Linked DNA regions of Callithrix jacchus. The main gene of each other region encodes a partner of the protein of the gene in region 2 in a complex. Links are inferred from orthologs where the notes say so. Each region holds a gene or a part of one and is shown on either strand. Other genes may lie near its edges. The genes, in order: CDHR2, CDHR5 and ANKS4B.

Evidence for each region.
Region 1: CDHR5 (region 2) and CDHR2 share a complex: the UniProt entries of both Homo sapiens proteins name them as parts of the IMAC/intermicrovillar adhesion complex. The link is inferred for Callithrix jacchus from reciprocal best matches to the Homo sapiens genes CDHR5 and CDHR2.
Region 3: CDHR5 (region 2) and ANKS4B share a complex: the UniProt entries of both Homo sapiens proteins name them as parts of the IMAC/intermicrovillar adhesion complex. The link is inferred for Callithrix jacchus from reciprocal best matches to the Homo sapiens genes CDHR5 and ANKS4B.

Annotation. Positions count from the first base shown.
Region 1 is NC_133503.1:69,635,063-69,638,713, forward strand, and holds part of CDHR2 (cadherin-related family member 2), read right to left. Parts: intron 1,255-3,651; coding exon 1,185-1,254; intron 1,035-1,184; coding exon 429-1,034; intron 1-428. UniProt on the Homo sapiens protein: Intermicrovillar adhesion molecule that forms, via its extracellular domain, calcium-dependent heterophilic complexes with CDHR5 on adjacent microvilli. Thereby, controls the packing of microvilli at the apical membrane of epithelial cells.
Region 2 is NC_133511.1:131,271,967-131,274,591, reverse strand, and holds part of CDHR5 (cadherin-related family member 5), read right to left. Parts: intron 2,525-2,625; coding exon 2,423-2,524; intron 2,315-2,422; coding exon 2,204-2,314; intron 2,111-2,203; coding exon 1,940-2,110; intron 1,232-1,939; coding exon 1,141-1,231; intron 977-1,140; coding exon 879-976; intron 761-878; coding exon 560-760; intron 413-559; coding exon 299-412; intron 216-298; coding exon 131-215; intron 34-130; coding exon 1-33. UniProt on the Homo sapiens protein: Intermicrovillar adhesion molecule that forms, via its extracellular domain, calcium-dependent heterophilic complexes with CDHR2 on adjacent microvilli. Thereby, controls the packing of microvilli at the apical membrane of epithelial cells.
Region 3 is NC_133513.1:22,402,991-22,407,255, reverse strand, and holds the start of ANKS4B (ankyrin repeat and SAM domain-containing protein 4B), read right to left. Parts: upstream 2,853-4,265; 5' UTR 2,829-2,852; coding exon 2,665-2,828; intron 1-2,664. UniProt on the Homo sapiens protein: As part of the intermicrovillar adhesion complex/IMAC plays a role in epithelial brush border differentiation, controlling microvilli organization and length. Plays a role in assembly of the complex.

The DNA.
Region 1 (3,651 bases), on a different chromosome or scaffold from region 2:
AAGTGCAAAAATGCTTATAAGGTGCCTGGTGCAGTTCTTGGCTGTCATAAGGACTCAACATATGCTAGCTGTTAATGTGGTTATTATTGCCATATGGTGTCAGAAGTGGGATACAAGTACACATCTGGCTCTAAAGTGTGATCTTTCTTTCACAGCATCTTGCAAAATAATGTCATTAATTCGGTGCTACTGCATGCCAGGCACTGCACTAAATGCTTTACATGGATCTTCTCATTGATTCTTCCTAGCCAACCTACTGCCCAACCCCACTGGACAGAAGCTTGGAGAGGATTTGGGACTTTCCCAGTATTTGCAACTGGAAAGGGCTGGAGCCAGGATCTGAGCCCAGACCTTGTGAAGAAGCCCAGGCTTCTTCACTCAGCCCCTAGCTGTGGCCTGCCAAGCCCTGTAAGACCAGGCCGCCTTACCATTGTTGCTGTAGGCCTGGAAGCCGGCATCTGTGGTGAGGTCACAGGCCCGCACAACCAGTTTGACCAGGTCACAGGCCTCGTAGTCAATGGCTTTGCTCTGGTTGATGTACACAGAGCCATTGGCTGCCACTGAGAACCAGCCCCAGCACAGGCTGCCCACATCGACCCCGGCCTTGGTGCAGAGAATGTTCACAAGCTGTATCTCCAGCTGGGCTTTGGTGTCCACATCCGAGGCAACAACCACAGCCACCTGGCCATGCTGCGAGCCATTCTCAGCCACACGGATGTCCCGGACTGAGGCTCCATCCAAGGTGGGGGGATTGTCGTTCACATCTTCCACATTCACAAGGACATATACTGTGGTGTCACCACCCTGGGGGTCTGGGTTCTCAGCACTCACTGTCAAGTTGAAGACGGACTGTGTCTCGAAGTCCAGGCTCACATCCGGGGGCAGCCAGAGATAGCCCTCAGCCCACCCAGCCCCCAGCACCAAGCCTTGGATCATAAAGTTGTTGGCACCACTCCCCGACAGGCTGAAGCTAATGCGATTGTTGGCTTCCGTCTGGTCTGCGTCCCAGGCCTTCACCACGCCCACTAGCACTCCTATGGACAAGGGACAGAGCTCAGACAGACTCGTGGCCCCACCATCAGAAGCCTCCTCTGCCCTCGCCTCTCTTGGCACTCCAGGTCCACCCTAACAAAGACACACTGGGCCCCAGCCCTAGTGCCTCTCCTGACCCAGGGAACACATACCTGGATCCTCCTCCTTCACTGTAAAGTTGTAGCTGGACTGGTTGAAGATAGGCAGGTTATCATTGATGTCCTGCAGGCAGAGACAGGTCTGCGTCCCTGGATCCATTTCACCCTCCCCAGAGCCAATCTGAGAAACCAATAATCCCTGTGCTCTGAGGCACAGACTCTACCAGTGCCTCCGACCTCACTGCCCACTCCCCAGATGAGGAAACAGGCTCTGGGAGGAGGGAACTTGCCCGGGTCACACGGGCTCTGGGGTTCGAGGGCCTGTAGTGGCAGCTGGGCCTTACATATCCATCCTCAGGAAGCCCTGCCTGCCTCCTTGGATATGAAAGGCCAAGTTTCTCTGACCACAGCTCAGAACTGTTCTAGACTCTGATTTCTGGAAGCACAGTTCTGGGTCCCCCTGCGACCCTGCCTGGTCCAGCTTGATTCCCATCTCTTGGATTTATTGTGTTGGTACCAATACCATTATGTGTCCATGAAGGCTCCAAGGCCCACACTTTCCCTTGTCCCATCCTACCCTGTCCCTCCTGCATACAACTGAGCCCACAACACCTGCTCTGTGCTCAGGCAGAGCTGGGCTCTGGGACCTGCAGAAGCTTAGACCTGCTCCTGCCTCGGACACTGGCTGTTTTTGGCTCTCACCTCTGTGGCCAGCCCTAGCCCATCAGGCACAGCTGGAGCCCTGCAACTGTTGTCACAACCTGGAGGTGACTCTGCCCTCCCCTCTGTCCCCTAACACTGGCATGTGCTTGGGGGAATGCCCTGAGTACTCCAGCCTTTCCTGGGTTTGTGGGTCACATCATAGGTGTTTGTTTTTCTGAATAACCCTAGACAAACATTTGGAAGACAACCTTCTTCCACCTTAGCTATATGTCTTTTCTACTGCTCATTTCCCAGAGATGGCATCACGGCTCCATGCACAAGACCAGCTGCATTCTCAAGTTTGCCCTAGCTCACAGGAGTGGCTGAGAGTGCTGAGTCACATCTTGCTCCACCTCTGCCTCATGTGTATCCTTGACCACTCTGGGCCTCAATGTCCTCATCTGCAAAATGGGGTAGTAGCCCCACTAATAGGGCAATTGTGACTGTTCACAGAGGTGAAGAAATCTGTTCACTCAGGAAATGAAGTTCTCTCTTTGCAGCCCTCCCACCCCAAGGACAACCAGCAAGGTCTCATTCTGCTTCAGTTTCTCTATTTCTGAGGTCTTACTCTCTGATCCTTGCGTGAAAATGGTGCATCCCAATCCAAGGGACACAGGGCTACTATGTGCAGTGGTGCAGGGTGTGCACTGCACAACCCTAGAGGATGTAGGGTTATGTGCATACCTGTTACAATACTGTTCCAGAGGAAGGTGACTTGTGGGCTGGTGGCAGCCTTAGAACCAGATTGATTGGAGTCACAACCCCATTTTGTGACTCCCCCAGGCAAGGTACTGAACCTCTCTGTGCCTCAGTTTCTTTTTTGAGACAGGGTCTTGCTCTGTCTCACAGGCTGGATTGCAGTGGCATGAACATAGTTCACTGCAGCCTCAACCTCCTGGGCTGAAACGATCCACCCTTCTCAGCCTTCTGAGTAGCTGGGACTACAGGTCCATGGCACCATGCCTGGCTAATTTTTTATTTTTGTAGAGATGGGGTCTTGGTATGTTGCCCAACCCAGTCTTGAACTCCTGGGCTCAAGCAATCCTCTCATCTTGGCCTCCCAAAGTATTGGGATTTTTGGTGTGAGCCACTGCACCCAGCCCTGCCTCAGTTGCTTGATCAATAAAATGGTAATAGGTCAGGTGCAGTGACTCATGACTGTAATCCCAGCATTTTGGGAATCCGAGGATCACTTAAGGCCAGTAGTTCAAGACTGGCCTGGGCAATAAGATCCTGTTTCCATGAAAAATAAATTTTAAAAATTAGCCAAATTAGCCAGGCATAGTGGCATGCATCTTTAGTCCTAGCTACTTAGGCCAAGGCAGGTGGATTGCTTGAGCTCATGAGTTCAAGACCAGCCTGGGCAACAAAAATTAAAAAGTTAACCAGGGGGTCGGGTGCTGTGGCTCACGCCTGTAATCCCAGCACTTTGGGAGGCCGAGGCAGGTGGATCACGAGGTCAAGAGATCGAGACCATCCTGGCCAACATGGTAAAACCAACATGGTAAAACTTAAAAAAAAAATAGCCAGGTGTGGTGGTGCTCACCTGTAGTCTCAGCTACTTGGGAGGCTGAGGCAGGAGAATCACTTGAACCTGGGAGGCGGAGGTTGCAGTAAGCCAAGATCGTGCCACTGCATTCCAGCCTGGCGACAGAGTGAGACTCCATCTCAAAATAGATAGACAGATAGATAGAAACAAAATGGTAATAACCAGCCCAACCTTGGGGGATGCCCTGATGTGCAGTATACAGCAGCAATACTGCTTTTCACCCCCCCCCTTTGCTTTTCAATGGTGGCGGGAGGGTTTCAGGTAGGGCTT
Region 2 (2,625 bases):
TTGTTCCTCCGGCCTCTGGGGAGGGGGGGACGTCTGGGGGCCAGGAAGAGTGTTTGGGCTTGCCTCTGCCCGCCCCCTGCACCTCTGCCTCGGGGAAGGGAAGGACTTATCTGGAGAACCCTGGGCTCACCTGTGGAGGGGGGCTCCTGCTCGGAAACTTGGATCTCAATGACTGTGGTCGCAGTGCCCAAGCTCACTGTGTTGTTGGCCTCAACCTGGGGCAGGAAGGGGCTTGTCCCTCCTGGGTTCCTCTTTAAACCCCACGCCCTCAGAGACATCCACCTGCCCTGCCATTCACCTCTGCATAGAAGGTCCCCGCCTGTGGCAGTGCGATGGCGGTCAGCACAAGCTCTCCCTCCATCCGGAAGTGAGAGTGGTTGCTGATTCGATACGTGATGGCCGAGTTGAGGTCCTGGAGAGAGGGCCTCACTGAGTTCCCGGCCAGGCTGCCTCCCACATGCAGCTCTGACCCGCCCACAGCGTGGAGGGCAGATGGGCCCCGGGACCCCGGCAACAGGAAGGCAGCCGGACGGGGCAGCAGGCTTGGCATGCTGCCTACCGGGAACTCCGGGTCCTGAGCCTGGATCCTCAGAGGCTGAGAGGGGGCAGCTGCATCCTCGACCACAACACCTGCTCCAGAGCCAAGCGCCACGGTGCCACGGTACAGGCTCTGGGGGAAGTGGGGTGGGCTTCCGGCTGCAGCCACAGCCCTCACGGTGACCTGGGTCACGGAGTAGCGGGCGAGGTCAGCCTGCTGGCCCTGGAGGCGGGGAGGTAGCACTGGTGGGGCTGAAGGTAGAGCTGGAGCCTGGGGCTCAGGAAGGCAGGTGCATATTGGAGGGACCCCACCCTGCCCCCTGTGGAGGTGCCCACCTCACCTTCACCAGGAGAAGGAAGGTCATGGGGCTGGGTACCCTCCTGGCCATGGTGAGGTTACCGGAGTCTGCGTGGATGACGAACGTGCCATTCACATTTCCTGGGAGGTGGAGGAAGTGCTCAGCTCCGGCCCCCTGGGGCTCAGGGACCCAGTCAGCTCTGCCTAGCTGGCAGGTGGCCCGAGGGCTTCCCTAGCCCCAGGTGGGGACAGAGACAGGGTCAGAGAGGGGTCCAGGGTGTTGCTGCGGGCTGGGCCCCACTCACCATCCTGGATGCTGTAGACGATGCGTTGGTTGATGCTACGGTCTCCATCCTCAGCATAGATGGGTCCGGGACGCAGGACGAGGGGGGACGGCTTCAGGGATGGTGGAGGGGAGGGCACATTGTGGGGTGAAGTGGATGGCCGCAGCCTGGCCCCTCTGGCTCCCCCCAAGGTCAGCCAGGGCAGGGCTGGCCGAGGAGGGGCCTGTCACTCTGGTGGCTGGGCATCCTTGCCTGCCTAGGACGTCGCTGTCCCAGCATCACAATCAGTGACACCCCCGTGGTTCCCTTACTATAAGTCAAATTGCCCAAAAATATTGAGACCCATTTGCACAATGCTTGTCTTGACAGGTAAGAAAACATTTAGAAAGGGTGGGACCCTCGGGGTCTGCATTCCACCTTTTACCAGCCCTTTGGTGACACAGGCACGGGTTCCCGCTGCCCCCGGGTGCCTTGGTGCCATGAGGTCTACAGGCAGCCAGTGTGGCCTCAGTGGTGACTGTGAGCAGGGCAGAGCCGTCACCATCCCTTGAGAGCTCCAGGCCCTCAGCCCACCTCCCCGGGCCCCCAAGACCCCCTGGCTCCAGGCAGGCCACGCTCCTCTCTGTGTGGAGATTTGCTCCCTCACCACCTCAAGATGGGAAGGATTGGTTTACAAGGAGAGTCTGTATTTGTTTCAAAATCACAACCAAAATTGGCTTCACCCCAATTGGTCCGACCCTTTCTGGGTCCTGACCCTGACCCTTGCCTCCCGCCAGCCTGGGAGTCTCCACCCTGTGGACTGCCCCTCCCTCCCCATTACCAGTATGTGCCCAGTAGGGACGGCCCCGAGGTACTGGGCTTGGATGCAGACGTAGCCGTCTGAAAAGCTGCAGGGCAGGAACCACGGGGGCCGCAGGTCGGCGGGCACCACGTTAAGCACCAGTGTGGCGGTGGCCGTGTGGCTGGGCTCCACGTGCTCCTCCGGGGTGTCCTGTAATGGCCGGCTGTGCTGGATCAGGCCTGGGAGCAGCTGGGTCCGGGGGCCGCAAGTGTCTGGGACTCAGGGGTGGGGTGACGTGCTCACCCGCACCAGTAGCCGGAAGGCCATCTTTGGCCGCTTATCGAAGTCCAGGGGCCGGTCCAGCCTCAGGGCAGGACGGTTTGCACCCACCAGGGAGAAGTAGTCACTGGCACCCTGGAGAGGGTCGGGGGGACAGAGCCTGAGAGCCTGGGAGGGCGAGGGTGGCCTCGGGTGTCAGAGGCAAGGGGCCTGTGCTGGGGGGACAGGGTGGGCAGCACTGACTGTGGTCTCTTCCTGGAGGGTGTAGAACAAGATGTCATTTGCGTCTGGGTCCTTGGCCTCCAGTTCCGTCTCTGGGATGACGATGGAGGTCACTTTAGTGTCCTGGGGAGGGAGAGGAACTTGGTCCGGCCATGGCCCCTGTGGACCCCACTGTGACTGAGCCCCCTGCCCTCACCCCGGGCTCCCACGCCCCCCATGCCCAG
Region 3 (4,265 bases), on a different chromosome or scaffold from region 2:
CTAGTAAAAATAAAAAATAAAAGATCAGCAGAACACTTACTGTGACAGAATATTTCAGGCTTTCAAAGGAGAGAGAGAGAACACCTAACCATTACTATTCAAAATGGTCCTCAAATGGAACAAGAGCTCTCTGCTGTTGAAGAAGACCCCCAAACCCTCTTCTAGGAGGACAAACTCACTGATTGATATGGTTTAGATCTGTGAGATCTGAACAATCTCTGTGAGGGGAACAAATCTCAAATAAAATTGTAATCCCTCATGTTGGAAGTAGGGACTGGTGAGAGGTGGTTGGATCATGATGGTGAATTTCTCATCAATGGTTTAGGACTGGAATCCCCCTTGGTACTGTCCTCATGATAGTGAGTTCTCATTAGATCTGTTTTCTAGCACCTCCCTGCCTCGCTCTCTAGCTCTTGCTTCTGCCATGTGAGATGCCTTTTCCTTCTGCCATGATTAGAAGCTTCCTGAAGCCTTCCCAAAAGTAGAAGCCACTATGCTTCCTGTGCAGCCTGCAGAACTATGAGCCAATGAAACCTCTTTTCTTTATAAATTACCCAGGCATAGGTATTTCCTTATAGCAGTGCAAGAATAGACTAATACATCGATTTTAAAGTAACTGACATCTTGCAGTTTGTGGAAAGAGGTAAACTTTCCGTAGATAGAGAAAGTTGGGGAAACCTGGGCTGAGCAGGAGAAGAGGTGAGATGACTGGAGAAGGCTGGCTGATGGGGATCGATGTGTCTCCACATCAATCAGAGAAAAGGAAGTCAAATCAGACAGCAGAGACGGGAAGACCTGCTTCATGCACTTCCTCATTCAATCTTACACTCAGGAATCCTCCCAATCCTGGGTTCCTCCTAAATGTCCCCTATTTTAATAAATAGTGTCAACATCCAAATCCTGGGTCCTTAACCCTCCTTTTCCTTCATCTGCCCACATCCAGTTAATCATGATTGATTCTACATCCAAACTGCCGCTCAAAGCCAACCGCATTTTCCCATTCCCACTGCCCCTATCCTAGTCCAACTCATCTCGACCATGAAAACAGCCCCAAACCTTCTCTCCGGCCGTTATCCATCTACCTGAGTGAGTTTTGTAAACATAAATCTACTCGGGCGGCTTCCCTGCGTAAACCCAAGACATGGAATGGCTTCCTGGACCCTTAGGGTACAGTCCTTACCAGAGTTGACAAGGCTCTCTGTGATCTGGTCTTATCTCTTGGGAACTTGCCCTGTCCCCACTGCTACTTGAGCCATGTCCAGCCATATTCAGCTTCTTTACTTCTCAGAATGTAGTGTTCTGTCTTAGGAAAAACACTCTTTCATCTGGCCAACTTGTTCTCATTTTCCTAATCCCAGCTTAAATGCTTTTCCCTTAGGGAAGCCTTCCCTCACCCCTGAGATTGGGATAGATGCCTATGTTATTTAGTGCCCTCTATTTCCCGTTTTGTAACAAACATCACAGATAAGCCAGACACAGTGGCTCACATGTATAATCCCAGCACTTTTGGAGGCCAAGGCTGTCAGATCGCTTGAGCTCATAAGTTCAAGACCATCCTCAGCAACATGACAAAACCCCATCACTACAAAAAATACAAAAATTGCTGGGCATGGTGGTGCACACCTCTAGTCCCAGCTACTCGGGAGGATCAGGTGGGAGGATCACTTGAGCCTGGGGCTCAAGGCTGTAGTGAGCTATGATCACAACACTGCACTCCAGCCTGCGTGATAGAATGAGACCCTGTCTCAAACACACACACACATGCGCGCGCACACACACACACACACCATAGATGTCTTGCCTTCCCCTCTCAAATCTGATCACCATGACAGGGATTGTGGCTGGCTTTTTGATCACAGTGTGCCAGTGGCCAGCAAAATGGCTGGCACATAACAGATACTGGAATTGGATTCACTCGGCTCCTTTATTTACATTGTCCTTTTTTCTTTCCTTACTCTTCTTGAGTCACAGTCGCCAGCACAATACAGCCCTCTGATAACAGGCAGAACAAGCAGAAGAGCTAGCTAACTTCATTAAAATCTGGGCAAAGAGCGGTGTGTGTGTGTGTGTGTGTGTGTGTGTGTGTGTCCACTGGCCAAAGAACTGACAAGAGTCAAGGTAGGCTAAAGATTCCTTGTAGAGCCAGCAACTCCTTTCAAAAGGGAAAGACTCTGTGTCAAAACCAAAAAATAAAAATAAATCATGTGCTTGTACTGGGATTGAAGGTTAATAAAAGACTGGAATTTTAATGGCATAGATGAAAAAATAAACTAAAAACATGTCATTTGTTCCAACCAAATTTGACAACTTAAAACCAAGTAAAACAGCGGCCTCTTTTAAAAGAGTAAACTATATAAATTTCATGAAAACCATTTTTAAAGGCATAGAATTAAAATATCTCTTCTCTTCTCCAGGCAGATAACACTTACAGTTCAGAATCTCTCCTCTGATTGTGACTAAGGGATGAGCCACTCCCATAGTGCCAGTCCTCAGTGAGAAAAGAGAGCCTCTCTAGGTAGTTTTCTCCCTTTCTCTAAAAAGCCAATCATTTAGACAGTCTAGAAGGAGGATAAAGTATTTGTACTGACATCCCTGCCTCTTGCTGCTGCTGCAAAAAGCTACCATGAACACTGTTTCCAACTGAAACCATTGGGTTGAACTTACCCTCTACTGCAGATTATCTCTAGGGCTTCCAAGTTCCCATGGTAGGCTGCTAAGAGAGTGGGAGTCATGCCATCTTCATCCGAAAGATTTAGATCTCGCTTGGTAGCCTCTTTTAGAAGTTCCAGATAACTATCACTAGCAGCTTGGTGGTAACGAGTAGACATTTTTTCTGCTCACCAGAACTGGCCAGATATCTCTCCAGGCAGAGCAGGGTGTTGGCAGAGCAACCTTCCTATAGCGCTAGTTAATCAGTGACAAGGAAAAGTGTCACCGGGGCAAAGCTCATTCCAGCTTCCTTTCATGGAAGGCAACAAGATTCAAGGCACTGAACTTGGACCTTTTCTCTCTGGAATGGCCATGACGTTGACTACTGAAGACTGCTGTATTCATCTTGAGTGTTTTGAGGCACATTTAATTTTTCTATGTCCGTTAGTTTCTTGAGTGTAATACTGGTCATCTAGGCACAGAATGTAAGAAATTTCTTTAAAAAATGCAGAGCTGGCCGGGCGCGGTGGCTCAAGCCTGTAATCCCAGCACTTTGGGAGGCCGAGACGGGTGGATCACGAGGTCAAGAGATCGAGACCATCTTGGTCAACAAGGTGAAACCCCATCTCTACTAAAAATACAAAAGATTAGCTGGGCACAGTGGCGCATGCCTGTAATCCCAGCTACTAGGGAGGCTGAGGCAGGAGAATTGCCTGAACCCAGGAGGCGGAGGTTGCGGTGAGCCGAGATCGCGCCATTGCACTCCAGCCTGGGTAACAAGAGCAAAACCCCGTCTCAAAAAAAAAAAGAAAAAAAAAAACACCCAAAAAATAAAAAATGCAGAGCTAGTCTAGTTCACTGTTTTTATTTCCAAAAATTACAGCTTTATTGAGGTATAATACCACTAAATTTACCCATTTTATGTATACAATTCAATTCAATGATATTTAGGACATTTATAGAGTTGCATACCCATTTTCTTAATTTTCATCAACCCTCAAAGATCCCTCATGCTAAGTAATATTCCACTGTCCTAAGATACCAAATGTTCTTCATCCATTCAATATTTGATGAATATGATGACTATTTGGGTTGTTTCCATTTTTTAGCATTGACGAATAATGCTAGTATAAACACTGATATATAAGTCTCTGTGTGGACACATATTTTCATGTGCCTTGCATATATATCAAGGAGTGAAACTGCTGGGTTACATGGCAATTTATATTTAGATTTCAGAAGCTGCCAAACTGTTTTCAAAGTGGTTATATGACTTCATATTTCCACCAATAATGTATGAGGGTTTCAGTTTCTCTACCTCCTTGCCAGCTCTTATTATTGCCTATCTTTTTGTGTATGGCCATCTAGTGGGTGTGAACTGATATTACTGTGGTTTTAATTTGCAATTCCCTAATGATATTGAGCATCTTTTCATGTGCCTATTAGTCATTCTTACATCTTCTATTCAAACCTTTTAGCCCAATTTTAATTAGGTTGCCTTATTAATAAAGTATAAGAATTATTTATACACTCTGGACACAAGTCCTATATCAGATATATTTTGGACAGAATGAAAATGAAAATGCCACATATGGAGATTTAGAGGATGCAGTTAA